Linked DNA regions of Notamacropus eugenii. The protein of the gene in region 4 interacts with the protein of the main gene of each other region in a pairwise test. Links are inferred from orthologs where the notes say so. Each region holds a gene or a part of one and is shown on either strand. Other genes may lie near its edges. The genes, in order: TUFM, YES1, GABARAPL2 and FUNDC1.

Region 1 (7,881 bases), on a different chromosome or scaffold from region 4:
AGGCGGGTCCCCCCAGACGCCGCAGCTCCTCGAGCCCGACCCCTGGCCCTGCGGCGGCGAGGCCCCAGCGCGCCTCCGGGGTGGGGGGCTCCGGGGAGCGCCCGGCCTTCCCTCCGCCCATGGCGGCCCGCTCCGGCGGCCTCCCGGGGGGCGCTGCCCTCGGGGCGCTGCCCCGGCCCCCGGCCTCCGAGCCCGGCCCCGCTCCGGGACCTTCGGCCTTCCCTCCAGTCCCTGGCCCGGGGAAGGGGGGAGGGTCCGAGTGGGGAGAGGAGAATGAGGAGGGGGGTTCCGGTTCCGGTCCCACCTGCATCTCGGTCCCCGCGGTTTGCTCCGGCGGCAGCAGCAGCGGCGGCTCCCGCTCCCCCCCCACCCCCAACCACCAGTGACCAGCGACCAGCCAGCTACTGCGCAGGCGCCGGGACCCCCTTTCCCATCAAGGAAAAAAAAAGACCATAGATAAGCCCGCGGAGAGAGAAAGGCACGTTCCCCGCCGACTTCCTCCTCCTGAGGCACGGGGATCATAGAGACCGTTCTCCCAGGGTGTAGGAATAGGGGCTCTTCATGCGGAGGAGGAGGAGGCGCTGGGAACACTCGGGCGTCTCCACCACTCGCCCCTCAGGGTGGAACATCCCCTGAGGCGTCCCGCCGAGATGGCTTAGTCTAGACTAGGACCTCCCCTGCCATCTTCCGTAAGGAGGACGGAGGTTGGCCGGCCGACCGACCATAGAGACGGGGCCTCGCGATAGAGTATCCCAAACAGAGGCAGGGGAGCGTGAAACCAGAGAGAGGACGGCGCCTCCTCCAGCCGGCTAGAGGTCACAGAGAGGTCAGGTGGCCTCCTAGAGCGCCGGATTCTCTCGTTCTAGGAAGAAGAGGACAGCGCCCCCTGGAGGAGGGATGTGGGAAGGCTGAGGTGACCTTGAGAAAGAATTCCCACCTCCCAGCTGGGGAGTCTAGAACCTGAGTTTATGTTCAATGGTTTTCAGTCGTGTCCGATTTTTTGTGACCCCTTGGTGGGGTTTTCTTGGTGAAGATATTGGAGTGGTTTGCCATTTTCTTTTTCAGCTCATTTTACAGATTAGGAACTGAGGCAAACAGGGTTAAGTGACTTGCCCAGGGTCATACAACTAGTAAGCGTCTGAGGCTGGATTTGAACTGAGGTCTTCCTGACTCTAGACTCAGTGCTCTCTATCCACTGTGACACCTACCTGCCCCTGAGTCTAAGACCTTGGCCTTTTTCTGGGCAAGAAACAGCAGCCCCAGAAATGCCTTGAGGTTCTTCCTCAGCACTTGGGGGACTGATATCAGACCAAGGGGAATGCAGTGGTCTTGATGGGCACATCCAAGGAGACCTCCACCCTTGAGTCTCCAATGGAAAAAAAACCCTTCATTGACTTCCTGCCATGTCTGTAATTTACAAGATAGTATAATGGACTGAGAAAGGGAAGTAGAGAACCTGAACTTAAATTCTGGCCCTAGAGACATTCTGAGTCTCAGTTTTCTCTTCTGTAAAATGAGGAGATTGAATTAAAAGACTTGTATGGTCCCTTCTGTTGATGCATAATGATATATGAGCCTGCTAATAGTCATGGGATGGGGTAGGGGGGGCATCTCCAGTCCTGATCTATATCTTGCCACTGGACTAAGATTGTTCTGGAGGAGAAAGTGAGACTGGTTACTTTGTAGAGCCCTGCCATCCAATTCACTTGCAAGTTATGACATCACCTTCTGGACGTCATGGTCCTCTTTGAGAAGGAAGGACAAACAACAAAAGTTGTCTCAGGGGTTTCAGAGATAGCTCAAAGAAACCAGTAGAATCAAGTCACTTTAACTGAAGATTCATGTGGATGGTGTTTTGTTTCTAGGATTCTACAACTACTTCTGTGTTAAGGGCTTGTATTTAACATAAGACAACATGGTGTAGTTTATGTACAGACTTAGAGTCAGAGGAGACTGGAATCTGAGTCCAGGCTGTAACGCTTATTAGCTTTGTGATCACAGACAAGTCTCTTGACCTCTCTGAGAATTAGTTTATCTGTAAACTGGAGATTACATTTGTATTAAATATCCCATGGGCTTGTCATAAGTATGACATTCATATACCATAATTCCCCAATAAATGGACCTCATCCCCTTAGTTTCAGGCCACTATGAAAAGTGCTGTTGTATTTTTGTATACATAGGTCCTTTCCCTCTTTTAAGTTCTTTGGGATATAGCCCCATTAGTCAAATCGCGAGGTAAAAGGTATGCAAAATTTACAGACTTTTGGGACATGGTTCTATGTTGTTTTCCAGAATGGCTGAACCAATTCAAAACTCTACTAATAGTACATTAGCATTCCTGTTTTCCTTCAGCTCTTTCAACATTTGCCATTTTTTCTTTTTGTCATCCTTGCCAATCTGATGCATTCGAAGTAAAATCTCAGTGCTGCTTTAATTTGAATTTCTCTGTTAATGATCTGGAACATTTTATCCTATGGTCATTGATAGCTTGTATGTCTTCCTTTGAAAACAGCTTGTTTCATGTTCTTTGTTTATTGGTGAATGGCTCTTATTCTTATAAAATTTGAACCAATTCCTTATGTATCTTGGAAAGGCCTTTATCAGAAAAAAAAGTTGTTGCAAAGATTTTTTTCCCTCAATTACCTTTTTCCTTTCTAATTTTAATTATAACCAATTTTGTTTGTACAAAAATTTTTACGTTTTATATAATCAAAATTGTCTAATTTATCATCTATCATCCTTTTCCCTTGTTATAAGTTCTACCTAGATGTAGACTTTGATAACTCATTTTTATAGAACTCAAGAAAGATGCTCTGACAAAAATATGTATCCCCTGATTCTCAGTACCCAGACATCTTTAAGGAAGGCCTGGGGAGAACAATAAATACTCTGTTCTTTCAACTAGAGACTGTGGCACCTGTGTAGCTCCATGTGTGGTATGCCCTTCTAACAAAGAAAAGCTCTTATCTAGTTGATTGGGAAACTCATCGTATTGATCGGGATTCTCCTGGTCACTTGCTACAAATATGGTGAGAACTATAGAAGAGGTACAGAATACTTTGAGAATTCTGAGAAAAAACCCTTTCTGATCAAGAATTTTGCCAGAAGATTCACTAAGTAGAAAGAATTTGAGCTGGGCCTTGAAGTAGTATATGATTCACATAGATGGAGAGAATAGATGAAGACATTCCAGATCGAACACTGACCACGTTGGCTGGAACATTAAGGCAGGATGCAACAGTGGGATTGGAAAGGTAAGGTAGGAGTCAGATGGTAGAGGATCTTGAATTCTAGATCAAAGAATTTGGATTTTATCCTGTAATAGTAATAATGATTCACATTTTTATGGAACTTGAAGGTTTTTAAAAACACTTTCCTTCTCACAACAACTTTATAAATTAATATGAGCACTATTTCCCCCATTTTGCAAATGAAGAAAGTAAGGCTAAGAGAAATGAAATTATCTATTAAGTTTACACATTTAATAAGTATCAGAAAGGGTATCTGAACTCAGGCCTTCTGACTCCAAGACCAGTCATTACTCTTTCTATTATACCACAAAGCCTGCTATACATCTGGGAGAACCGCTGGGGATTTCTGCTTAAGACAGTGACATGAGCAGAGCTGTGTTTTATAAAAGAATCTGTTTGCAGGATGGATCAGAGAAAGATGATATTGGAGCAAGAAAACCAGCTCGGAAGGTTGTGCAGTAACTTAGACTAGGGGCCTTAACACCCCCATTTTAGAAGTTGTGGGTGGCTAGGTATCTCCCATTAAGAAGACTGAGTCTAGCACGTTAGGTAAATTTTATTTGTTACTGATGTAAGACTATTTCCCTTTCAAAAGGGGAACCCAAAAGAAACTCAATAGAGGAATTTCTGGCAGAAACCAGAATGGATCTTCAGGGCAGATATGGGAGACCCCATTCCTCATGCCTTGGAGAAATAAGCCACTGTACTTTGGAGCTCCCTGGGGAAGGTTCTGTGCTGAATAATGAGATCTCAACATACCTAGGTAGTCTTAGACTCCTAGCATATTGAACCCCCCCCCCCCAACCCATTTTGCAGCTCTGCATGGAAACCACTACCTTCTCCCCAACCCCTTGTCCCCCTCTTACTTTGGGGCCTATACATCAATCAGCAGAGCCATTGCTTCTGGAAAGGGTGTGCCCATTGCCCTACACCTCCACTCACCATCCCTCTTCCTTTCAGCCCAAAACATCCTTTCCTATGGAATATCCTTGCCGTATTGCCTGCCCTTGTTAGGTTGCGAGCCCTGTCAGGGTAAGGACCGTCTCGCTCTTGCATTTTCAGGGCTTAGCACAGCGCCAGGAGCACAGCAGAGTTACAGGGATAAGGACCAGATCTGTGATTTCAATGACGCAGGGTGCCCCCCGAATGAGGACACTACCAAGGCAAGTGGCACCTTGTCTGCAAGACCGCTCAAATGGTTTTCTTCACTCATTCGCCCGGGGTGAGTAGGGTATTTGAGACATAAAGGGCTCCAGCCCCGAGTCACTTCAGGTCAAGTGGGAAACCCCCGACTTGCCTACAACCATCTCCTAAAAACTTCCCCAGAATGAGCCCTAGACAACCCCTACCCTCAGATGACCACAAATCCCAGAAGGCAACACAAAAGGGGCGGGGCTTTGTTGTTGTTCCTGGAGATGCATGATGGGAGCTGGCAGCTGGTCTATGTCTCCGGCCTTCGGCCCCAGTCTTCTTCCGGGTATCCCTGCCTCACAGGAAGTCCGCCACGGCGGTCCTAGAAGGAACCACTCCGTAGTCTCCCTTTCCTGCCCTTCGTCACTTCCGTCCGACGGAAGTGCTTTCCAGTTCCCCGTGCCCTTAGCGTCTCGCACGCCGTCCCGTCCCCGGTCCCTTTCCCCTCTGGCGCTCTTTTCCTTCTAGCGCTTCCATTGGCCCCGTTCCTCCCCCTCCGCCCGCCCCCGTCCCTCGTCGCGATGGCTGCAACCGTGATGTTCCGTGCACGGCCCGGGCCCGGCGGTAGGAGGGAGGCTGCGGGGCCTCTTGACCCGGGGGCAGAGCAGAAGCGATGGGGAGAGCCGGCCGAGGCAGAGCGGGGAGGAGGAGGGTGCCATGGAGGGGGCCGCCGGCGGGAGGGGTGCTGGGAGAAGGGGGCGGGGCGGGGGGGGGCGCCGTGGGGGAAGGGGCCGCCGGCGGGAGGGGCGGGGGGAGGAGGGGGCGGGGCGGGGGGGTGCCGTGGGGGAAGGGGCCGCCGGCGGGAGGGGTGCTGGGAGAAGGGGGCGGGGCGGGGGGGGCGCCGTGGGGGAAGGGGCCGCCGGCGGGAGGGGCGGGGCGGGGCCGAGGGGTAGAGGAAGGAAAGCCCAGAAGGGGCGGCCGGGGGTGGGGGAAGGGAGAGCTGCGCTTTTCGTCCTCTGACGCCTTCCCTTCCCTTCCCTTCGCAGCCCTGCAGAGCTGCCAGCTGCTGCACAGGTTCTTGAAGAGGGTAAGGACACGTCCCAGATCCCACCCCTGACCAGGGCGCGAGGGAGGGGGAAAGCTGCGTGAGCGTGAGCGGAGCTGCCCTTCTCTGGTGCCTGACACTTGAGGGCCCGGAATTTTTCTTTCCCTGCAGGCTCACCTTTCCAACCCGGGGCAGAGGCCCTCCCTGCCCCTCCTTTTACGGGGCCTGGCTGTCGAGGCCAAGAAGACGTACGTGAGAGACAAACCCCACATTAACGTGGGCACTATCGGCCACGTGGATCACGGCAAAACCACACTGACAGCGGCAATCACCAAGAGTAAGACCAGAGGAACGTGTCTGTGGGGGAGGGCAGCGTCTTGGTTGTCGGGGGTCAGAAAATATATATGAACAGGTGGGCATTTTAAAGGGGCACTGCTAGAGGATATCCTGCGAATCTAGGTGGGGTGAGAAGCAGGGCGAAGATAGAAACTTACAGGATCCTTGTTTCCCGGATGTTGCTTGCCTTATTCTTGAAATGGGATCTGGACTGTGGTTAGGTGTACGTATTCCCTTCAACTCTTTCTTCCCTTCTGGTTCCAAGTTCTGGCAGAGGGTGGTGGGGCCAAGTTTAAGAAGTATGAGGAGATTGACAATGCACCAGAGGAGCGAGCCCGTGGTATCACCATCAATGCAGCCCATGTGGAATATAGTACAGCCACTCGACACTATGCTCATACTGACTGTCCTGGGCATGCCGACTATGTCAAGGTGAGAGGAATATACTGGGCAGCCTGAGGCTTGGAACTCTGGGGAAGATACAGAAATGTCATGGTTTTACTGTAAGGTGCTGGTAAGAAGAAAGGAGAAAACAGAGCCTTAAGGGGAGGATTTAAGGCACAGGAAAAGGAGGAATAGTGGAGAAAGACTGACCACATCATGGCCCTTGGAGAAGAGAAAAGCAGAAAAATTTGAAAGCCAAAGCAAATTTTCATGTTCAACTAGCATCATTCTCTTTCTCCAGAACATGATCACGGGCACAGCCCCATTGGATGGCTGCATCCTGGTAGTGGCAGCCAATGATGGCCCCATGCCCCAGACAAGGGAGCACCTGCTGCTTGCCAAACAGGTATCAGTCTCTTCAGATGGAGCCTTGCTAGAAATCTAAGTCTGCAGTGGGGAAGGATGGTGTAGGGAAAGGAAAGCAGTCTTTAAAAAGGGCTCTGAGGTGAAGCATGGATTCAGTGCAGTCAGGATCATTCCTACATTGCATTTCAAATGCCCTTTTCTAAACTTGTCTGTAAACCTTGTTAATGGGAGCAATTTTCTCCCACCAGATTGGTGTGGAGCACATGGTAGTGTTTGTGAACAAGGCAGATGCCGTCCAGGACAATGAAGTGATAGAGCTTGTAGAGCTAGAAGTACGGGAGCTGCTCACTGAGTTTGGCTATGATGGAGAGAAGACTCCTGTCATTGTTGGTTCTGCCCTCTGTGCCCTTGAGGTAAGGGGGAGTAGAAGGTGGCATGTTGGGGGGTGATTCTCCTTGGGGTTTTTTGTTCATTCTCATTCTCTCATGGGGATACCTTTGAAAGGGTTGTCACATGACCCCAGGCTGGACTGACCATCTGACCCATTGTCCAAGATTTTGTGAAGAGGAAGACTTATGATTGGAAGACTGAATAGGAACTTTAGCCCATGTACCACCTCTCCGCTGCTGCTGCCCTGTATTCTTTGTCTTCCTCTTTGAGGAAAAAAACTGGCTCTTCCCTGACCCTATGCTTCTCCTTTAACCATAGCAGCGGCAGCCAGAGTTAGGGGTGAATTCTGTAATGAAACTGCTCGATGCTGTGGACACTCATATTCCTGTGCCCGCTCGGGATCTGGAGAAGCCCTTCCTGCTGCCTATTGAGTCTGTTTATTCCATCCCTGGTGAGATTGCTGCTTTATATTTTTCCCAGCTTCTTTGAGCCTCCCCAGTGGTCTTTCTCCTGGTTTAGAATCATCCCTTCTTGGCATTTTTAATTTTCCCCAAATCCCTTGAAACCCTCCCCACATTCTAAGCCTTTCTGTTCTAGGTCGTGGCACAGTAGTCACAGGGACCCTGGAGAGAGGAACTGTGAAGAAAGGGGATGAATGCGAATTCTTGGGCCACAGCAAGAACATTCGTTCTGTGGTCACAGGTCAAGTTCACATGCCACCATTAAACCCTTCTTCCTATTTCCCCTGTTCTTGCTTACCGACTGAGACCTTGTCCCTCTCCCTGTTCCTGCCTTCAAGTTGCTCTCCTATTTCAGGAATTGAAATGTTTCACCAGAGTCTGGAACGAGCTGAGGCTGGAGATAACCTTGGTGCATTAATTCGGGGGCTGAAGAGGGAGGATGTTCGACGAGGCATGGTGATGGTTAAACCAGGCTCCATTCAGCCCCATCAGAAGGTTGAGGCTCAAGTAAGCT
Region 2 (7,344 bases), on a different chromosome or scaffold from region 4:
TCATAAACCACAAATTGACTCCTTTCTGCTCAACAGTAGACAATTCCTGAAGTGAAATTACAGCCTTGGCTTCTCTTTTGGGGATAGGTGGAATTGGTCTTATGGCCGAAGTATCTACTGGTTTAAGATTGAAAGGGATTTGTCAGTTATAAAGCAGAATGCACACTGTGATGCAGTAAAGTCTCTCATATCTGTAATATTAAAAGGATTCATGTTGAAATAATTTAACACGTCTGTTTTAATATTCATGCCTCATGGAAAAAAAGATTTGTAAACTCTTTCAAAATTTTGGTAATTTTGAAGCAGTAATATTTCATTAATGTACATGATTTATTACATAATGTAAAAAGTTAATTTAGAACTCATACTGACATCTGTTTGGGTAATTCGTTCACATGTTGGTACTTCTAGTGGTGAGGGGAAAAGTTGGTGGATGTCTTTTTCTGCAATGGAACAACCATCTATGTGTATGTATGTATATATACACCATACATGAAAAATGCAAGTAAAATTGGAGATCTTTCAAATCTGATAGTTTTCTTAAAAGTGAAATTCTTCCTTAAAGACTAAGACTGCTCAGATCACCTAGTTTAACTTTCCCGACATTCCATTTTACAGATGAGGAAACTGCCCAAAGTCAAACTATAGTAGTAAGAAGAAATAGTTAGGATTTGATTCCAGGTTCTTTGATTTGAAATCTAGTTCCCTTCCGGTAATGAAAGTATTAACAGGTTATCAAAATTTTGTCTGTGCAAAATCCAGAGTTCTGCAATTCCGAAAAATTTGGGGAAAATTATATTTGGCTATGAATATACAAGCCAAATACTTGTATACTGGAAATGTATCTCATTTTACTTATATACAAATGTGATGTATTTTTCTTCTCAGCATAAAAGACTGGGGTGGGGTATATGTATGTGTGTGCTTGTGTGTTCCCAAGCTACTGAGAGCTGTATAGATGGTATGGTTATCAAATTCTCTTGTCTTGGGAACTTAAAATCATTTTATGTGAACGAAGGTGCTGTTTGGGGCTTTAACTTTGACTTTTCACAATAGAAAATGTAAATAGATAGTTTACTTAATCTAGTGTACTTGACTAAATTTACATCTATGATTCATTGATTTCTTTTCATAGCAATTCACACTGGGAAATTTTAACCTGTTCATAATTTGAACATATTTCAAATCTTCAAAATTACCAAACTATTTTTGTTTTTGTACCTAGTGCTTTTTCCCCTCATTTGTAATGTGTTCATTTTATCACTCAGCATGGAGGGAGGGACCATGTATATTTTATTTCATTTGTATAGTACACAGCATCATTTTTCTTAGAATGTTTAAGCAAATTTGCTTTTTTAACATCAGAAATTTCCTTCGTTTGTGCAGACTTTGAAATTTTGAGTTTACAGAATTTATGAATAGGAGAAAAATATTGTATAATAATTTCATCCCTGTAAATAAATTGTAGTCGTTAGATTTGTAGAATTACATTTGCCTCTCTCTGTGCATGGATCCCTTGGATCTGAGGGGCTAAGAAGTTCTATGCTTCTACCCCCTTCCCTATTTTTTTTCCTCTTCAGAATTTGCTTTTAAAACATCTTTGTCTTTCTGTTAATTTGTCTAGGTCATTTTTGTGGTGTGTATCAATTTCAAAGTATATATATTATTTTCACTTTTCACTCTTTCAGCTGCTCTAGGATTGGGGGCCCTGGGTTCAGCTGCAGCTGCTGGGTGACTTTGACACCATCTACCTTCTGACAGCTCAGAAGGAGATGTAGCCGAAGGAGCTTTAAAAAGTAGCAGAAAGGAAAAGGAAATAACCAGTGTTGGGGCTAGTATTTATTTAACTTTTGTATGCCAAAAAATCTTTGATTACAAGGTCAGTGCTGCTGCTTTGGGAGATCAACTTTCTTTTGAAAAATAATTCTTTTTTATTAGGAACCTAATAAACATGAACATATCAATGTACATAGAACAAAAAAGGATTGTATATGAAAATGAACTTTTGTTATGAAATTTTTTAAAGTGTATATTACATTTGTTATCATAGTAAGAATGGATCTTCTGATTCTGTTCACTCTGCATACAAGTCTTCCCAAGGCTTCTCTGAGTCCATTTTTTTTCTCTTAAAAGAGCCATAATATTCCATTGCATTCATTTACCATAGTTTATTCACCAATTTCCCACTTGATGGGCATCTACTTTTGTTTCAAGGGTTTTGCTAACATAAAAAGTACTGCTGCTGCAAGTATTTTTGTGCATATTTTTTTCGCCAAAACTCTATTTGACTTTTTGAGGTATCTGCCTTGTAGTAGTATCATTAGGTCAAAGGGTATCCACAACTTAGTCACTTTTTTGGTATAGATACCAAAATACTTTCCACGGTGGTTGGACCAATTGACAGTGTATCTCTCTTTCCGTTGTCTCCTTTCATTGTCCTTGCAGCTAGCTATTGCTCTTTTCTTTTTGTTATTTTTGCCTAACCTGTGGGTTCAAGGTGTAGAACCTCTGTGTCATTTTTATTTGTATTTCTCTTACTAATGATTTGGGACAATAACTTTCTTTTGAGAACTATATATTCTTTGACCATTTATCTTTTCAGAAATGGCTCTTATTCTTATATATTTTTATCAATTCCTTATATATCTGTGACATTAGACTTTTATCACAGACATTTTTAGGATCTATGAACTCATTGACAGGATGACCTGGCCTGGTTGGGTATAGAGATGGTGTGGTTCCCTAAAAAACATAGGGGTGAGATACATGCTTACAAGATGCATGTGAGGCACAAATGAATTGAGTTCTGAGGCCCAGGAGTTAAATGACTTAACTTAAATGACTCATGGACCATTCCCAATACCCATCCCCACACCCCCTACTCCAAGATCCCTCGTTCCTTTCTGATTAGATGTATACTTCAAGCTAGATTTGAAGCTGTTAATTTCTTTATTTTCTGTTTTCCTTTCTTGGAAACACTCTCCTCTCTTATTGAAATGATCAATTTTTAGGTTTCTTTCATGAAGACCAGTGGTCTCCAGAGCCAGGTGGGTTGCATAAGAAAAAAATCTATTGAAATGCAGAAAAATAATACTAGAATGTCTACTTCTGTTTATTTTTGTCATTAAAAGTTATATTAAGCTTTACTAATTTTTGATATACAGATTGACACTGACCCTTTCACTCCTTTGTTAATCTCTTTCAGTACTGTGATGTATTACAATTTACAAGTGCCCAGTTGAGGGGATTTGTGGATTATGTTATTTAGTTTTAGCATAATTAATGCTGAAAAAAATGGATACATGGTGTAAAAAAGATAGCTACAAAGAAACCATGGATTGAGAATATTAATAATGAGATAAAACTGTTCACGTGTGAAGAAATCTGCCAAAAAAGTTTAAGATTTAAAAATAAATTTTTTTGTGCCATCAATAAGGACTCTTGCATTGGTAAGTCCCATCTCTAATATAGATTGGCTGTGTGACCCTGGACCAGTCCTTTAACCAACTTCTCAGTGCTTCAACAAATTCTCTAAGACTGTAAGTTGCAAAGAAGGATACTGTCTGCGTTGGTAGAGTAAATCTTTACCCAGGAGCTCCCAAAGTGACAGTTCCTGGCCCCCTTTCCCCCCCTCCCCCCCAAATCTATATACTTTTTTTAAAAATGTAAAAAAATAACTTTCTCATCTGTACAAAAGTCCTCCTGGTGAACAGTTTAAGTGGTCTTTGAACTGATTTGCTTAAAAATACAAATATGTAACACCTTCCAATTGTAGTTTGTAAGTACTACAACTGATTGACTTCAGGAACTGGATTGAAATACAAACCTTTGCATGATTGATGTGTAAGATTGAAAAATGAGTGTCCAATGTCCTGGCTTAATGAATGCAGCTAGTAATGTACTTCTTAAATTTGGAGCTGCATATCTTTGTGAGTTTTTTTAAAACATTGATATGGCTTTTAGATTCATAATCTCATTGAACACATTTTATAAACTGACAGTCATTAAAAACACATATTGAAACAAATTGAACTTAGAATGAGGCCTTTGAATCTCTATTTCACAAAATGCTAAATCAAGATTTTTAAAAATCATAATCATTTAATTATTCTACTGTCACTAAAATATATATGCCTATGGAATATATCACTACAAAAATTACAAAAATATTTATGCATAAAATACTAGTAATAATATTTTAATAAGGGTAAAAAAGCTTTTTACCCTTATTTTAATCCCTTGTTTTAAAGTACTATTTCACTTTTAGCCTATCCTTTGTTAATTTCTTTGTATATGTTTCATGATGTATTGGTTTTGTATGTGATATATTGGTTTTATATGTGATATTGGTTTTGTAGTATATGTATATAATTTATAAATAAATGAACATGTATCAGTGTAGTTGGAAATTTTTTGCTGTTGTAGTGCATGAACAAAAACATTTGGAGCCTAGTGATTTAGAGAGCTATTGTTATGTGGAATCCAGAAAGTTTAGAGGTTAGAACTCCAGTTGCCAGCTCTTTAGCTGAGAAGTGGAATTCTCCAGGAGATAGTGCTTGTCCCCATCCAGCTTTCCTTCTGTATGTAAAAGTCACACTTTTCAGTAATCCTTCTATATCCAGATGTTCAAACTATAACCATAGGTTTTCCCTTCTCTTTAGTCTCACACAAAGTCTTAGGGAGAGGTAAAAAAGAAAGACTTGTACAGATTTCTTATAAATAATGTAATGATGGTAATAGTATTTTTTGCCAAAATTCATAATTTTGAAAACATGCATTCTGTTTCATTTTGTAGCATTGTTAGACGAGGAAAAAACTTGTATAATTTAAGTATCCAAATATATAGTAAAGATAATTATCGGCTAGTAGAATGTAAGCTTCTTAAGGTATTTTGGATTTTTTGCATTTTTGCTAGGCACTGAAAATATACATGCTAAATTTCATGTTTTGAATGCTTAATACATACTGTTCACTTAAATTGGGAATTCATGTCCTTATTGAATGTTACAGACATATGTGCCTTTGTGTGTATACATACACGTATATACACACACATATATGCAATACATATATATACATAACACACACACACACATATATCTCCAAACTAACAGATGCCATTGGAAAATTGATACTTTTGAGACAATGCTGCTATTAATGTTAATGTAGTATAGGAACATCCCAAGTCAACCCCAATATCAATTTGACTTGTTTTTCTCTTCAAAACTTTTTCTTACTGTGATTGTCTAGAGTCTAAGCTGTTTGCCTTTACAATCCTGAAAGGAAGGATGGGAACATTTGAGAACACATTGTCAGTGTGGTACGTTGACATCAATACAGTGTATTGATATTGATTCTACGGACATATTTTATGCATTGCCTTTATAATGGAATTCATAATTTCAAACTTTTCCTATATCTTTTCGGGCCAAGTCTGATAGTGTTTAAATTTTAGGAGAATAGACAAGGATTGTTTTAAAGGCTAAGGAAGGCTAAATTCTATGTTCTAGAATGAGTTTGCAAAACATTCAGACTTTTTGGGGGATTGTGAATCTAACAGCCATTTTATTGATATGTGTAAATCTAACTTTAAAAATCATTGTGGTTCAAGTGAAATGAATCTTTACTCAGGACAGCTTCTGCCCCTTCTCCCCTTAGTCTTTTTTGTCCTGGTAAAAAGTACAAAGCAAAAGTATTGAAATATGAACTTTATTTGGTAACGTAAAAGTCTGTCAGTACACTAACAATGACAAGTCCATATCCTTTTAAGAAATAAATTTTAAGGTGGGAGAGGAAAGATTTTCTGATTTTCTTGATGAAGTAATGTGTGGTTTATTCACAGGATCTGTCTGGTGGGAGGATTAAAGGGGAGTGGAAGGGACTAGGACAAGACAGGAAGTACTGGGAGAAAGGATTGATGACTGAAACCTCAGAATAAAATTAATTTTCTACCAATATACATAACAATTTGTTTAATATGTCTGCTTTTTATGGAGGCCAGTTTTTAGAAAAAACTTCAGCATTGTTTTCATCTTATGCATTAGAAATTTTTTTGGTTAAGAATATGATAGATGCTTTTACTATGAAAATAGATTCTTATAAATATTCTATAGGAACCTTATTGATTTATGACTTTTTCAGGAAAGGCATACTGTTTTTTAAGAGAAACACAAATTTTAATATTTTTTTCCCTTCATGATCATGTAGCATAAATAAAAATACTTAAAAGTAGAAAAGAGGCAGTATGAAAAAAAGACTTGGATTCCACTTTGTAATCCTGTCTCTGGCTGGCCTCACTGTTCAAAAATTCCTTACAGCTTTGAAATTCTATGGCTTTTCAACTTCCAGTTTTTCTCCCTAAACCACACTAATAAGTGTTTAGGGAAGACCTTCAGAAATTTCAGATTCTGTCCAAATAAACTAGAAAATAAGCATGGTCCTATCAAATCTGAATATTAGGTTATCAGATGAGTCAGAATTGTAATTAAGACCTTTGATTCCGAGACTTGGCATTGAACTTGGTGATGATGTCTTTTGTGGGGTTTATTCTATATCCTGTGCAAATAATCATTTTGGTAGGTTAATAGGTTATGTAGTATAATGGAAAGATTACTAGATTATTGATGGAGTTGTGAATTGGTTTCAGTCATTCCAGAAAGCAGTTTAGAATTAGGCAAAGAAAGTAACTAAAATGTCATTGACCCACAGATTCCATTGCTACAAAGGTACAATAAGAGCACCAAAATATTTTATACACCTTACCCTTATATACCAAGATATTTTGTTTTATAGTAGCAAAGGCCTGGAAACAAATTCAGATGCCTGTCAATTATGGAATGAAAAATGCAAATGAAAAGCATAAAATTATGCCTCAAAATTATTATTACAAAGTTTGGTCACAAAGACAATATTTGAGGAAGCACCTCCTCTGTTTCCTTTGAAAAAGAACAGAGTGATGGGCATGGAACACCACATACGATGTCAGGATTTTTTGATATGTAATTTTGGTGAGCTGGCTTTTTGTCTTTTTTTTTTTTTAATTTAATAAGTAAGAAATAGTAATCTGGGAGGGAGTTGGGGGTAAAGGTACAATGGAAACTAAAAATAAAAAAGATTTAGTAAAAACATATTTCAAAAGTTTGGAAACAGGATAAATTTGTTTACATTCAGTTCTGAGAGATTTTCATTATAAAATTTGTATGTGTTGTTTAATGTTTCTATAAACATTAAAGCTTTTTCTTTTTTCTCCCTCAGCAAAATGAGAATCAACTTTAGCATATGGAAACATTTCTATACTGCAGATTATTCTGTTGGGGGTGGAACACAGGACCCAAGTATTTACAA
Region 3 (7,338 bases), on a different chromosome or scaffold from region 4:
TAAAGTGCAGCCATCAGGAAACGAAGTGATCTCAATGTATTTTGATTTCATTTTCTTCAAGTTGTATCAAAAGTTCAGAGTGAAGTGCAAAAAAAAAAAAAAAGCCCTAACTGCCACATATCCTACTCTAAGATGAAGCAAAAACAGAGCTTTTTAAACTTGATTGCTAGAGTTTCAGATGGTAGGTAATGAAGTCCTGCTTCTTATCATATGATGACCCCCCATCCCCATAAGGAAGGACAAGAGCTAACTATTGCTGTCCAACAGCTTTCAACCCTAGTGAAAGAAGCACCAAGAAATGCCCTGCCTTCCACTCCTAACCACAGGCCTCATCAAAGAGAGGGAGGGCCAGAAGAAGTGACTCCAAAGTGACAAGTTTGTTCCTAATAAACCTGAAACTTCTCAGATGACAGCTGTGGCTAGCCCAAGAACCTCAATGGGCCATGGCTGGGCTTTTCCTTTTCAGGTAGGAATCACCACTACAAGGCCAAGATCTTATTTCTTATTCCATTTCCACCCTCACTAGGAAGTAGATATTGTTGAAGGGACTAAGGAAAAAGGAAGTAACACCTAAAAAACCAAAGCTGTTTACTTTTAGAAGAAATAAAGAATGAGTTTGGTTTAGATCCCTCCTCTGGAGCCTCAAAGGTTTCCAAATCAAGGGCATTTTGTCCACACTGGGCAAAGTATTTGTTTTCAAACATTCTCTTTTTGGAAAACAGATTGAGCCTAAACCAGTCTTGACTCTCTTCTGGTCTCTGATGTTACAAAGGGCCAGGAATCCCCTTTCAGACAGCAACACAAAACAGGAAACCAGAATCTGGCCATAGGCCTGAGAGTAATCAACGTAGAGTAAGAGAAGAAGCAATTACGAGTTTAAAGTCTATTTCCTTTCATACAGAAGATAAAACTGACAAGGTCAACACAGAATGGGAGAAGACTGCCTTGAAACTGGATTTTTGGTCCCAAGTTGTAGTTAGAATGAAGTTCCAAGCAGGAAAACAGCTAGAGTGCTAAAGTTATTCTATTGCCAGCCAAAGCAAAAAGTGATAAATAGGAATCAAAACGAACAAAAACCTAACAATCCATGTAATTCTCATAGCCCTTCACAGGAAACCAGCCCTAGTAAATGATAATCAGACAGCTAAAAAAACGACTGCAATGAGAAAAGCTGACTGAAGCATTTGGAGACACAGCCAACAAGGTGATTAGTTCAAATCTAGGACTCTGCAAGGCCTAATGAAGAGCTCCAGGAAGCATGGGCACTACTAATTTTTGGACTATTAAAGTAGACCTTTGTCTCAAGCCTCAGATCCGGAGTTTAAGCTCAGCCCCAAGAAGCTGCTCTCAATGGTTCTTAACAGTATGCATTCTCCACTTCACAACCTGCCCTAGTACAGATGGATACTATCATGGCATCTTCCCCTTTCTTCTAGTTATTACTTGAAAACAAAAGCCTACATTTCAAGACAATCCCTAAGAGATTAAGGGCCAAAAAGTACTTGAGTACCACAATCAACCCATCAAAATAAGTGTTCAAAGGATCAGTAAGTGACTGCCTCTCACCTAGACTGTGGGACTGTTTTATCCACAAACAGGAAGATTGCTTTCTCTGAGGGGAGCTGGATCCGTTTCCTGATGATCCACATGAACTGGGCCACAGTGATGTCAGATGGAACCAGGTACTTCCGCTTGTCAATGTCAACAATCTGAGAGCCTGAGACTTTTTCCACAATCACCTGGAAAAGCAGAGGTCAGGGTTAGCTTCTGAAATAAAGGCTTTAATCTGTCATGTGCTTGGGGAGCTGATGAAGGCACACTGTGCTAGAAATGTCAGGGGATTAAGAGGAAGACAGAACTACATGATAGAATGGCAAAATGTTACCTTTGCTGCTGAAAATTATACGCTTTGGAGAGTATATTTATATGGTGAGCTGTTTTCTTTCATGAAGTCAGTTACTGTATTCTACATCCCTGATCAGAGGCACTTACAGAAAAAAGCAGCTCTTAATGTATTGAACTTTAGAAAATCAAGTGAAGAAAATTATTCATTTTAGTTCCATCTAATCCCCCAAAGTTCGACCCACTGCACCTCACAAGATAATTGAGTTACCAAAGAAACGTTACAGTTGGAAGGGACTCCACGGTTATGTGGATGAGGAAAACCGAAGACATTAATGACTGGCTTAAGGTAACAAAGCCAGTAAGTGATGGGAACACCCAACAAGCAGAGGCAGGAACCTGGCAGAGAACTTTTAAGGAACCGAGTGGTTAACCTGCCCCCCTGGTTCCTCTTTCTGCTGGCCGGTCTTATTTCGGTTTTCTCAAAGATTAAGAATTCAGGTGTGTGTCCTCCGAACCCCGGCCTCTCCCCGCCCTCCCCTCCGAGAAGAAAGCCTGCGGCAGGTACGGAGCCCTTTCACCAACCTGCCGCACCCTTCCGAAGGGGGGGCATCAGGGCAAGGTGCCCCCGCCCCCGTGCTCCCCTCGGCCCGTCCTGGAATCCCGTCCCTTCCATAACCCGGAGGGAGCCTGGAGGCTGCCCCAGATAGGACACTCGGCGGCGGTGAAGGCCCCGGCCCCCTCCCTGCGCCCCCTCCGCCCCCCGTGACGCCCCGCAAGGACGGGGGGCGCCGCCGGAGCCCCGCTCCCTACTCACCGGGACCCGGTCGGGATATTTGGCTCGGATTTTGGCAGACTCCACACATCTGTGTTCTGTGGACGAGACAAAGTGAGGGGTTCGGAGCGGGGGTCCGCGCCTCGGGCCCTTCCCTCGCCCCGCGGCCGAGCCGGCCCGGGCGGGGTGGAGCCCCCGGGGAGGGGCGCCGCGCTCGGCTCCGCCGGCCCCCGCCCCGGCCCTCCGGACCCTCCGCCGCGGGCCGGGCTGAGACTGGGCCCGGGGCCCGGGGCGCAGAGGGCTCAGGCCGGGCCGGGCCTCGCCAGCCGCTCCCCCGGGCCGACCCCGGCCTCGGGCCCGCGCCCCCAACCCGGCCCTTACCCAGCGAGTGGTCCTCCTTGAACATCCACTTCATGGCGGCGGCGGCGGAGAAGGGACGGAGCCGGCTCTCGGAGCCGCGGAAGGGACCGGACGGGCCCGGCCTCGACAACAACAAAAACAGCGGCGACGGCGACGGAGGAGGAGGAGGAGGAGGAGGTGACGGCAGCGGCAGCGGCGGCGGCACGAGAGGCGGGACTTCCGACTGACGGAGCCTAGCAACTGGGCAGGGGGCGGGCCTTCCGGCGACAGTCGCTAAGGGGCGGGGCCTGCGCTACGCAGCCCGCCCAGAAGGCGTAAGCCACTCTCCCATACCTCTGGAGGAGATCTAACTCGAGGGAGGGGGATCGGTGACAGTGACAGGTCTGTAGGAGGAGGGTGACGTGACCCGTCTGTGGGAGGAGGGTGATGTGACCCGAATGTGGGAGGAGGGTGATGTGACCCGTCGGTAGAGTCCTGGTGGGGAGGGGTGATGCTGACAGGTCCGTGGGGTCACTAGGGGCAGGGGCGGTGGTGACCGGTCCGTGGGGGGCTCTAGGGGGAGGGGTGATGCTGACAGGTCCGTGGGGTCTCTAGGGGACAGGTTCGTGGGGGGCTGAAGGGGGAGGGGTGATGCTGACAGGTCCGTGGGGTCACTAGGGGCAGGGGCGGTGGTGACCGGTCCGTGGGGGGCTCTAGGGGGAGGGGTGATGCTGACAGGTTCGTGGGGGGCTCTAGGGGACAGGTCCGTGGGGGGCTGTATGGGGAGGGGTTGCTGATGCCTGCGGAGGCAGAGAAGTTTCATGACTGGGAGCTCACTTATTACAAATGAGATTCCAGTAAGAGACCCCATCTCTGGGTTTGGTCATGTCTCATTACTGAGCGGAGGAGAGAGGGAAGTTAGAGGTGACTGTCAGGACTGATGAATTCCCTTGACAGCGGGTCATAAGACTGGCATTCCTGTGGGCCATTCTGAGCAGGGTTCAAAAGTCACAAGGCAGTGTGGCACAGGTCACCTGCCTTTCCTCATACTTTAAAGGTTCTCCAGCTGGTGATGTAATTACGTTCCTCCAAACAATCATCTGGGAAGAACAGGGAAGTCATCTGTTTATGAGTAATTGAACTTTTAGAGGGTGTGTTGACCAATTTATGTGCACGATGCATATCACGTGCTGGCGACTCTGATGTATCTGAAAGGTCTCTTTTTTAATGCTGGTCTTCCTTCCTTACCTACAATTAAAATTCCTGAGACATGTCACGGAGCCTAACTACATCTCAAATATTTTAGTTATTTTGAGGTTGCACCTCTGAGCAACGCAAATATTTTGAAAGTGAAAGTAAAAATACTTTGCATTTTGACCAGACCTTTCTCCCAGAGAGTTCTTTGCAGATAGTGTATTTATTCTCAGGACCTGTTTCCAAAGGACGTGTGAGCTTTCCTGTTTTAGAGACAAAAGTACTGAGTGGTAAGGTGGTTTGTTCAACATTATTCAGGAAAGCAGTAGAGTTCCAAAGGACCTTGAATCCCTTTCGGCTACCCCAGCCAGGTTGCCCTATATATGTATTTATGACCACCTCTGCTTAAAAAGTAATTACTTTTATACCTCTCTGGTTTTAAGAGTTATAAGGACTCAAAGCTACTTGAACCATCTTGCATCCCCATGTACCTCCTCCTGAGCTTTTCATAGCTCAAATTCTAATTATGTAATCTTTCATGGTCTTTTCCATCCACTTTCCTAGCAATATTTTTTTTTTGTTTTCCCTATTCCGTCTTGACTATTTTAATTATCTACCTACTAGTTAAGTCAATATTTCAATGGTCTTCTCTGCCTAACAAGACACGGTAAGTAGCTACAAAGGAAGTAAAACACATAGATCCAGTCCTGGAGAAGCTTATAACCCTAATAAACAAGGTAGAACCCTATGTGAAAATACAAATAGATTAATTTTTAAATGCTAGGTGAATTACAGGTTTATATTTATGAATACTAAGGATATGTGAATAATTGCAAATGATAGTTTCATGACAGAAGTGACTCAGAAAGAGTTTTGAAGGAAGGAATGGACATGAATTAGCAGATGGAGAAGTAAATGTTCCAAGTCAGGAAGAAAAGGAGCAAAGACTCCTGGTGGATCAAATGACTTGGATGAAGACATTGATGACATGCTTGTCAGGTCGTCAGATGGCTAGGAGCTAGGAGGAATAATTCATTGAAAGACAATGTCAGGATCCAAAAATATCTCAACAACTTAAAATGGTGGGCTAATTTAATAAGACGAAGTGCAATAAAGATAAATGCACAGTTCTACACTGGAGTTCCAAAAATCCATGAAATATGTACAGGATGAGCTAGACACACATAGACAACAGTTCTTATGGGGGGAAAAACCTGAAGATTTAGCTCAAAATGAGTCAATAGGGTGAATGTTTGTTCAAGGCTGTATTACTACAAGAGTCATAATGCCCAAAATAAGGTAAAGTAGTTGTCCCTGTCTGCTCTGGTCCTACTACATCTAGAATATTGTGTCACTTCTGGATGCCACACTTTAATAATAAAAAAATCATATGTACATGTTTGTTTTGTTTATATTTCTTTTTGTACATGTTTCTCCCAATAGGGTATAAACTCCTTTAAGGTGGGGACTGCTTCTTTGTACAATAAGTTGGCTGTAATGAGGAACTAGCCAATGAGGACCTAATCCTTAGAGCAAACTCATATTTGTTCTTCCTGTTCAATTCTACAGAACATGATAGATATTCCCTCCTTCATTCTAATCCAGTAGAACAACTGAACTGCCTCAGTACAAGGAAAAGATTTATCTCCCACCTTTATTGCAACGTGTCCATGAGCATCCTGGAAGGGTAAAGTTTTTAGTATTGTCAGTCACAAGCCCCAATCTGGGGTGCTCCCCATTATCAATCCAACTGTAGAACTCTACTGCTTTTAGAAAAGGGATGTGCTACGAAAGTATAGCAAAAACAATAGTTACAAAAACATTTTCCTTAAGCTGGCAGCATACGCTCTCCATGTACATACAAGGGTCCTGAGTGCAGTGCACTCCCTTAAAGTACAATGGTAATGAGGCATATGTATAAAGAACACATGGCCAAGGGGTACTCCCTGATTCCTGGTGCTAGAAGTTCTTTCCTTCTCGTCATGAAATTCTCATGAGGTTCCTCTTAGGTGTATTTCCTGGATTCTAAGAATCAATGCCTTTCTATGGTCCATAACCAGCACTTTTCTTGGTCCCAAAGGGTTATAATCCTTAAAGTTGCAGTCATCCTTGGGGGTCAGGTTTCTACCTTTATCTGTAGGTGTTTCCTTTGTCACTGACCTCTACTACTGGGTTGGACTCTGCTATTGACTGTTTGTCAGGTGCACTTTGGGTGGCTCTGATCTATTTTGTGGTGGCTAGGACACTTCCCTCTGGGAATAGTTATTCATCTAGGATCAAGAACGAATGAATAAACATAAAAGAAGCAGAAGCAACATGTATTTGAGAACACATGGTGACCAGATGTGAGAAAGATAGCTGCCTTGGGTCTTACCTGCCACATCATGGCAGTTTTGCTTTACTTGCCCCAGGAAGGAAAAAAAAAAAGCTTACTGAGGGTAAGATTACTCCTTTCATTTACACTCAGTTCTATCTCAGCAGCCTCTGAGTCATCAGCCCTTCAAGTTCTTCAACCAATCAGAAGCCTCTGTCACCACATATCTAATTCTAAGAGTAGATAACCAAGATTATGCCTAGAATTTTGAGGGAAGAAATTGTGAGCTGCTCTTTTGGGACCCTGCCCACTCATACATATTATTGGAAGTTGGAGAATTAGCCCTTGAAGGGGTACTGTGTAAGACTTACCAAGCACTTTACATACACTATTTTATTAAATCTTCACAATTCTGTTGTTGCTGTTTTTCCGTCATTCTCAAAGAGGACCATGACATAGGGGAATTGGATGTAAGTGAGGTAGAGCTGTGTAGAGCCACCAGTCTCATTTCTCTGGAGCCATCTGGGTCCAGTGGCAAGAAATAGATCAGGATGACTGGAGATGGCCTTGGATGCATTGTTAGACCTTGCTCTTTTTAAGCTAAGGTCTCGGTGTGAGAGGCAATGACCATTCAGTGATAAAAGCTAGGAAAGAAAAGAGGAAGAGAGTGGATTTTTTGACCTAATCAAAAAAAAAAAAATCTAGGAGAGGAAGACCAGATGTCAGGGTTTCTGGCCAAAACAGAAACAATTGCTATTTACATTCACTCTGGGCCAATCAGGGCCCAAACAATGATCAAGTGGGATTTGGCCTGAGACCTCTTTGTTGGTCAATCAATGAGAACCAGAGTGACTTGGGTCCTTAAGAAAAAAAT
Region 4 (7,838 bases):
TTCAGGTGCAAACTATGCGGCCGGAGAGGTTAATTAGGATCAGGAAAGCCTGAAAGCTCTCTTAGCTCGGAGGGGCCCTGACAGGACAGAAGGCTCCGTTTTTCCTCTCTTCGCTCTCCCCTCCCCCTCTCTCCCCACTTACACTTCTGCTTCCAATCTCTTACCGTAAGATCTTTGCCTCCTTGGGAGATTTCTCTCTCCCTCCTAAGGAAGAATTCCCCCTGCACATGTAACCAGGACCCTGAATAAAGCCTAACCCTTGTTCGACTCCGGAAAGTCTCTTCTCTCATACGTTTATCCGGTTTGGCCAACCGAAGACCTGGGACAGGTAAGGTAAGACTCGGGTAGCCCTCAGGCCTCTAGGCCTGGCACATTGTCACTTGGGAAGCTTCTTCCCCTCAATTTAGCAAATGTAAATATTTATCCCCCAACGGGAATGTGACTTCTAGGCTCACTGAAAGTGAAAAATCCTCAAAATATGTTTTGAGGTAGATGTTTACAATCTGATGTGAAAATACACAGATCTTATGGTTTTACCTGTACATCTGGGTTTTTCTTGGGGGTTGGGAAAGTTATCATTTTCAGATTAGATGTCTTTGAAGGGAAGGGCTGGATTCTAGTTAATCATGACTCCATTTTCACGATTTTCTTGCATCACTCTCATTTCTTTTCCCAACTTTTCCTCCATTTCTCTTACTTGATTTTCAACTTCCTTTTTGAGCTCCTCCATGGCCTACAACCAATACCTTTTGCTCTTTGAGGCTTTTGATGTAGAAGCTTTGACTCTGATGTCCTTCTCTGGTTGTATGCCCTGACCTTCCTTGTCACCAAAGTAAGATTCTATAGTCTGAGTTCTTTTATGATTACTTATCTTCCTAGCCAAACACCTGACTTTCTAACTCTCTTTCAAGGTAGGACTATGCTTCCAGTGGGAGTAGGGGAGGTTGGGGTGGATTTATTGTACCAGGCTTCAGGGATTTTGTATCAGTCGCTTGATACCCCACCCTCTGAGGGCCCAGAGCTCTGGAAGCAGTCTCTGCTGCAGCTGCTGCCCTAAGGCTGGGGCCAGACCTTCAACTCCTTTTTCACCCATGTCCCACAGAGTTTTCCCATTGACCTTTTTGGTTTGTGGGTTGAGAAATCTGGTAACCACCACAGCTGCCAATGATTCAGTCCCCTGAGGTCTGCTGTGGCCAGTCTGTGTTGGTGCTGTCCACGCTAGACCGCACTCTGCTCCCTACCTGGTGTGAAAGACACTTTTTGTTGACTTTCCAGGTTGTCTTGGGCTGGGGATTTGTTTCACGCTATCATTTTGTGGCTTCTGTAGCTCTAGAATTTGTTTAGTCATTTTTTACAGGTATTTGGAGGGCTTTGGGGGAGAGCTCAGGGAAGTCCCTGCTTTTACTTTGTCATCTTGGCTGTGCTCCCTGGAAATCCCTGAATTTGTTTCTTTAAGGGTAACTCTAACGTCTACCACTTCCAGCTTAAGTTAGTTACAACACTCAATGGAGGATACTTACTTGTGTTCTTTCAGAAATAGGTAGCCTAGATTGGAAGAAGTTTCTTCTTTTCTACTCCCTAAACAATGGGCTCCCTCAGTGCTAAGAGACCTCACCCCAATTTAGAATGACTATCAGTAGAACATTTCCCAAATCTTCATCTTGGCAAGCGAGGTCATGAATGACCTTTTGCAATAATTACCAAAGAGCTCTAGAGTTCAGGGTACTCTTAAAGTTCTATGTTCTTCTGTTGCTCAGTAAAAATGAGTGGCTGGAAAAAATCCTTTGCCTAAAAGGAGTGGAATAATTCACTCATATAGGAAAAGGCCTTGTCCCTCATAATGTAAATTCAAATTTGCTAGTCTAAAAGGGACATGGTCCTTACAGAGAGCCAATATATCATAAACTGATTAAATAATTAATATAAAACTGTAAAATTTCCAAGCTAAAACAGGATAATCTAGTCCAACATAGCATGGAATAATGCAGGGAACTGATCTTGGAGTCACAAAGACCTAGATTTTCAGTCAGACAGTTATTAAGCAATGAGGACAAGCCATAACCCTTCTAGATTGGTTTCATCATTTTAAAACAGGTATTTTTATTTTTATAGGTTGTTGTGAGGATCAAATGCAAAACGTATTTAGAAATCCTTTGTATACTTTAATCCACAATAAAAATGTCATCTAATATTGTATTATTAGCAAATATATAGGAAGGGTAGCTTGTTGAAGTCTAGATGGGAAAAATTGACAATATAGTTTCACCATTTTATATGATGATCTTTTCTCCTGGAACCTGGCTTTGTACTCCATACTCTTCTTCATTCCATACAATCCCATGGGATATCTGGGTAAGGGATTTAACATATTCAATCTCTTCTTGAAAATTTCTAAGGATAGCAGGCCCTCTTTTATGGGGCAACCTGTTTTCATTTTTGCATAGTTTATGTACTAGCTCTTGCTAGACTATAGCTACACATATTCAGCATTTTTATTATAAATCCATGCAAATTAATCAAAAATTAAAATCATTGAATAAAGTGAGAAAAAAATAGTTTCATCTATTTCTTAGAATTTTTAGAATACAGTAAGTATCCATTCTACATATAACCTTACCCCACACAGCCTCCTTCTTTGCAGATACACAACCCTGAACTCATTTTTCTCTCCCCAGACTGATACAGTACTCTGCTTTTTGGGTTTAAAATGAATGCCATCTCCAAACAATCTTAGATTTGCTTCTTCAGGAAGGGGCTAAGATTTCAGTAGCACAAATGTCTAGGCATTGATAGCTCAGAATTTGAAAAGCAAAGTTCAGCAAAGCAGAGGCAGAATATTGATTTGAGGTAAAATTAATCTGGAACAGCAAACCAAGATTTAGCCTTTTTCTTTAGTGAATACTGTTTTGCTTAAATGTACAGATGAGTTGCTATTATAATGGGTCTTCCAAACATTTTTCAGGGAGAATCTCTCCTTGAACTTGTTTGGTTGGCTTGGTGATCAGATCAACACCATTCTTCATGTCTCACTCACTAGTTTGCAGGTTGAGGACACAGGGTACTCTTAAGAACCCTCTTAAGAACAATATGGCTCATTCCCCACCATCTAGTGTGCTTCTCATAAACAATCAACTGGCTTAAGGAAACAACTCACCAAATGACATAATAGTTAGCTATAATTTTCCTTGTGTAAACCTTGGATTTAGTTTTCCCTCAAATAAACATGGTATCTTGTGGGTACAGTGGGCACCAACTGAAACATAATTATAGTGAAGTACCCGTATGACCAAGGTAACTATGTCTCCAAATATTACAGGTCCTGAATAGCCTTTCTTTTAGTGTGGAATCCTAGGTCTTTGTTGCATTGGTAGGTCAATTAAGCTCCAGGGTCCAGCTTTCATTCTTTTGCCTGGGCTTGAATCCTGGGGTCAACTCTAAAAGTACGTTGACTAGATCTCTCTCCAATCCAGGGATCAACTCTTAAAATTACATCCACTATAGGGTTCCAGAAATTCCAGGTAGGGCTGTTTTGAAGGCTTTTAGGGGTGTGGCCAATTATTTCTCAGCCAATGGCCAGGCTCCCCTTCAAATTCAGACAAGGAACTTGTTTGCACCTCATAAAGGGCTCTCTAGGTGGGGCCTCATTTTTTAAAAGTTAGTTTAACAACTTATTATTTACTTTCTGTGATTACATTAATAAAGCTGGACTTTATTAATCCCACTCCCATTCCCCGCCCTCTCATATATATAATCCCATGGGGCAAATGAATGCAGGAGCCAACCTCATTTTTCCCATCTTTTCAAAAGTTCTCTTCTGCAATTTATTTCACTGATTAATCCATCATTTTCTTTCTACCTTTTTGATTATCACTCCCACTCCCTTTACCCTTTTCCCTACTGTTCTGTCTTTTAAATCACAAGAACTAGAAGTAATATCTCTATTTTGTTAGGAAGATCTAGGTAGGCTTTCAGTGAAGGCATGAATAAATCCCTAAAGATTTGGAAGCTTTGAGGATGGGGGGGAAGAGTGGTGGTGACAGGAGGGTTGAAGTCTAGGAAGATGGAGGGAATACACAGACCTTTCCAATGATCAAATTAAGGGATCTGGGTTTGATTTCACAGGGCTCCTTTTTGTTGGGAAATAGTCAATATCTGGAGATTGGGGCAGGTGGGGGAGGAGCCAAGGAGAAAAGGTGATTGAATTAAGCTGCCTCCAAGGGATACTTTGACTCAGTTTTAAGTCTCCTTCCCATCTCTAAAGTGCTTTATGTTTTTTTTTTTTAATTGTTTTCTTGAGACACTTCCCCTCCTACCTTTGCATTGAATTTTTAGTAATGTGAGAAAGAAAAATGGAAGGGGGCTGGGGGTGGATAGATTATTATGTTAATTATCTCTAATTTATCCTTGCTTTGTTTCCATTGGCATGTCTCCCAAGTTAGATTTTAAACTCCTGGAGGGCAGGGGCTGCATTTGGCCTCTAATTTTATCTCCAGCGTAGTAAATATAAATTGAATTGAACTGAAATGTCCCCAGTCCCCGGCCTCTTGCTTTCAGTCACCAGAACGAAGATGGGAAAGGGGGAGCGGGGCACAGGCACAGCAGGGGAGCGTCAGCCCTGCATCTTCATATGCTTGGGTCACCAAGACTACAATTCCCACAAGCCTCAGGGGCCGAGGACGGATGCGGCCCCCAGCAGGGCTCCCTCAGGCCCTCATAGTTTACGCTTGCGCAGGAAGTCTTATGCCGGGGGCAGGGCAGGGGGGGGTCAGGGAGAAGAAATAAAGGCTGGTTAAGGCGGAAGATAACCATAGAGTTCGGACTTCTCTCGCTTCCAGCGTAGAGCGGCCCCTAGAGTGGTGGGGCGAGCAGCTCTCCTAGGGGGCTATTAGGGGCGGGGGGTGGGGGTCTCTGACTACAGGCCGCCGGCGGGATCATGGCGACCAGGAACCCCCGTCCCACAGGTGAGCGGCCCCGAGGGACCCCCCGAGACGGATAATCGAAACAGAAACTGCGGTTATGCCCCTTCCGGACTTACCCCCATTTCCCTCCCCTCCCTTTCTCCGTGGCCCAACGTTCACCCTTCCCCCACTCGACCCCTCCATCTCCCCTCCCCCCCATTGCCTCCTACGTGGACCCCGAGCCCTTGGACCCTCTGCCCTTTCCCCAGACGCTGAGCTTCACAACCTTCCTGCCCCTCCCAGAAACCCCCAAACAACTCCCTAACCACCCCCTCCCTCTGCCCTGGAATCCCCCCTTCTCCTCCCCAGAGCCTCCCGCTGGCCCTTCCCCCCCAGTCTTTATTTACCCTCTTCCGTATTGGTGCCCGCACCGCTCCATCCCCCTCCTGCCATCTTTCTTGCAGACGTAGCCCCGCTGCCCCCTCCTTTATTGGGGTGCCCGCCTGGTCACAGGCCACCCTCCCCCACGCCCATTTCTTCCTCGTCCCCTTCCCCCCCCCCCCCCCCCAGAACACAGCCGGGTCTTCTCTCCTTCTGACCTTGCTGTACAGCGTGTCCCCAGAGTCTGAATGCAGTTTGCCCTGGCCGCAGACCCGTGTTTGTGTGCACCCCCTTCTCCCTCTCCTCCAGGAAGGCCGGCTCCTCTTCTCTCCCCGAGGTGCCCGTGCCAGAGGAGCTGTGTGAACATCCCTGGGACTTTTCCTGGTCTATTTCAGCTCCCCCGGCGTTTACCTTGTCTATTTCAGCCCCCCTCCCCCCCCCCCCCCCCCAGCGTTTACCTTGTCTATTTCAGCCCCCCCAGCGTTTACCTTGTCTATTTCAGCCCCACCCCCTTGTCTGGGTCTGGGCCGTCGGGAGGCCTTTCACTGGTGAAAGAGAAGAAAGACTTGGTTCTCCCCCTTTACCCTTCCCCCTTTGTCACTCTTACTGTAAGGCCTACCATCAAAGTCACTTCCATAGACCGCTTACCTCCCCCATCCACTTTGACTTCCGTCTTTCAGTAAGTCTTCGAGATGCTATCACTTTTTTACAGTAGGAACTCAAGATTTTATACACACAGATATGTATCTTGTATATAGATATAGACATAGAGAGATGTATCTCTGGTATCTGGAATTAGACACAAAAAAGTCAAAATTTAAGAGTTCTCAGAGAAACCATTTTACTAGAAAGAGAGATAATTTTAAACTGTTGAAGACCATTTCCTGGCTTTTGACTGAATTTAATGCCTGTGTTTTCCTTTTTCTCTGTGAAAGAACATGACAGTGATGATGATTCTTATGAAGTACTCGATTTAACAGAGTATGCAAGAAGACACCACTGGTGGAACCGTGTATTTGGCCACAGCTCTGGACCTATTGTAGAGAAGTACTCCGTAGCTACTCAGATTGTGTTGGGTGGAGTTACTGGATGGTGAGAATGTAACATTTTTTAATCTTGTAGGATGTCATTGATTCATTAAGACTTGTTCATACTTAACTGAGAGTGGTAGATTGGCAGGACACCCTTACAGACTTGAATTTTAAGACTAAAACATAATGGCTGTGTGAGCAGGGATTAAACCCTTAACTTTGAGGCTTTAAGTGTAGAATATTTTCTGATATTGAGTTTTTAGGAGGAATGCTTACAGATGAAATCACAAGTCAGGACCAAAAAATAGTTAACTAGCTCTTAAAAGAGCTCTTTTTCAATAAAGTAAGGTATATGCCAATGGAGATAAACAGACATTAGCCAATACTCATAATTGTAATATTTTAATCTACAACCAATGTTAGGTGTCTTGGTTTACAGTAGTTTAGTTTGGTCTTTTAAGTGAATAGTGGAGGTAATCAGGGTATTTCCTTACTAGTGCTGCTAAACTTAGTGTTCTTCTAATTATGTCTTGGAAAAATTATTGTCAACATCATACTCTCAGATACCTGTCTTAACTTTTTGCCCATGTTAACATAAATACCTTGGCCTTTTCTTTCTGTCCTCAAGTTTGAGATGGAGGTAACTGATGTTTCCTTCTCTTCCAATCAAGGGACCTTTGAGGTGGGACTCTTCGGCCAAAAGTCAGTATATCTCCACTCTTTGGCTTGCAGACTCTCATTTCCCTTCTAATTACTGTGATTTAAGATGGCCTGCCTGCTTCTTGAAATCTCACCTCCCCCTTCTGTTAACACTCCATCCATCTCAGCTCTTCTCTGAGTCCTTGTCTGGTTCCACCCTCTCTTTCCACTGGGTCCTGAGGAACCGCCATTGTCATTAACAAAACTTTCCATCCATCTTCTTGCACTCCAGGACACCTGGTTTTCGCCAGAAGATACTTCATCCCTTTCCACCCAAATCATATGTACCTTTTATTCTAGCTCCTGATATTTTAGACCAGGAGAGGTTTCTTTTATTAAGCGAGATCTTTCCTCTGCTGCTGTCACTCAGCAACTGGTGCTCTTTTAAGTTCATAAAATCCAAATAAATCACCCTTTCTAAACCCTGTTGGTATTTATTTACTAGTACACACTTCATTAATTGGTTCACAGTCTTTCTGCTACAAATCTTAACCTTATACTTGAGAACTTGAGTTGGGATTCTCTCAGCCAACCCCTATCTTCCCATTTCATCAACCTTCTCATCTCCTGTCACCATATGTATCTTTATTCCAGCTCAGATGATCATGCCCATCACCTTACCTTACCCATAAGTGTTCAGTCTTCCTGATCCAGACCCTGAAAATCTTTCTTCTGTCATTTTCTCCCCCTACTCCTCCTAAACCTGCCCTTTGTCCTTATTGACCTCTTCCCCAGAGTCCCCTGCTTCCCTGGCCTAACGTTCCTCAGTTTCTGGCCTTGACATCCTATAAATAACTCCTTGTCCTCTTGTCTTATTGCCCCTGGAGCC

Evidence for each region.
Region 1: the proteins of FUNDC1 (region 4) and TUFM interact in binary tests that used the Homo sapiens proteins (3 or more experiments, as listed by UniProt). The two-hybrid records come from large-scale screens. The link is inferred for Notamacropus eugenii from reciprocal best matches to the Homo sapiens genes FUNDC1 and TUFM.
Region 2: the proteins of FUNDC1 (region 4) and YES1 interact in binary tests that used the Homo sapiens proteins (3 or more experiments, as listed by UniProt). The two-hybrid records come from large-scale screens. The link is inferred for Notamacropus eugenii from reciprocal best matches to the Homo sapiens genes FUNDC1 and YES1.
Region 3: the proteins of FUNDC1 (region 4) and GABARAPL2 interact in binary tests that used the Homo sapiens proteins (3 or more experiments, as listed by UniProt). The two-hybrid records come from large-scale screens. The link is inferred for Notamacropus eugenii from reciprocal best matches to the Homo sapiens genes FUNDC1 and GABARAPL2.

What each region holds. Positions count from the first base shown.
Region 1 is NC_092872.1:46,584,680-46,592,560, forward strand, and holds the start of TUFM (elongation factor Tu, mitochondrial), read left to right. Parts: upstream 1-4,656; 5' UTR 4,657-4,966; coding exon 4,967-5,009; intron 5,010-5,431; coding exon 5,432-5,472; intron 5,473-5,601; coding exon 5,602-5,767; intron 5,768-6,031; coding exon 6,032-6,198; intron 6,199-6,451; coding exon 6,452-6,556; intron 6,557-6,764; coding exon 6,765-6,929; intron 6,930-7,224; coding exon 7,225-7,357; intron 7,358-7,503; coding exon 7,504-7,608; intron 7,609-7,722; coding exon 7,723-7,874; intron 7,875-7,881. UniProt on the Homo sapiens protein: GTP hydrolase that promotes the GTP-dependent binding of aminoacyl-tRNA to the A-site of ribosomes during protein biosynthesis. Also plays a role in the regulation of autophagy and innate immunity.
Region 2 is NC_092875.1:243,865,328-243,872,671, forward strand, and holds the start of YES1 (tyrosine-protein kinase Yes), read left to right. Parts: upstream 1-4,326; 5' UTR 4,327-5,320; intron 5,321-7,254; 5' UTR 7,255-7,344. UniProt on the Homo sapiens protein: Non-receptor protein tyrosine kinase that is involved in the regulation of cell growth and survival, apoptosis, cell-cell adhesion, cytoskeleton remodeling, and differentiation.
Region 3 is NC_092872.1:712,633,415-712,640,752, forward strand, and holds the start of GABARAPL2 (gamma-aminobutyric acid receptor-associated protein-like 2), read right to left. Parts: upstream 3,215-7,338; 5' UTR 3,033-3,214; coding exon 2,999-3,032; intron 2,716-2,998; coding exon 2,660-2,715; intron 1,740-2,659; coding exon 1,567-1,739; intron 1-1,566. UniProt on the Homo sapiens protein: Ubiquitin-like modifier involved in intra-Golgi traffic. Modulates intra-Golgi transport through coupling between NSF activity and SNAREs activation. It first stimulates the ATPase activity of NSF which in turn stimulates the association with GOSR1.
Region 4 is NC_092876.1:429,739,422-429,747,259, forward strand, and holds the start of FUNDC1 (FUN14 domain-containing protein 1), read left to right. Parts: upstream 1-4,614; 5' UTR 4,615-4,933; coding exon 4,934-4,961; intron 4,962-5,305; exon of another isoform or gene 5,306-5,391; intron 5,392-5,497; exon of another isoform or gene 5,498-5,612; intron 5,613-6,214; coding exon 6,215-6,371; intron 6,372-7,838. UniProt on the Homo sapiens protein: Integral mitochondrial outer-membrane protein that mediates the formation of mitochondria-associated endoplasmic reticulum membranes (MAMs).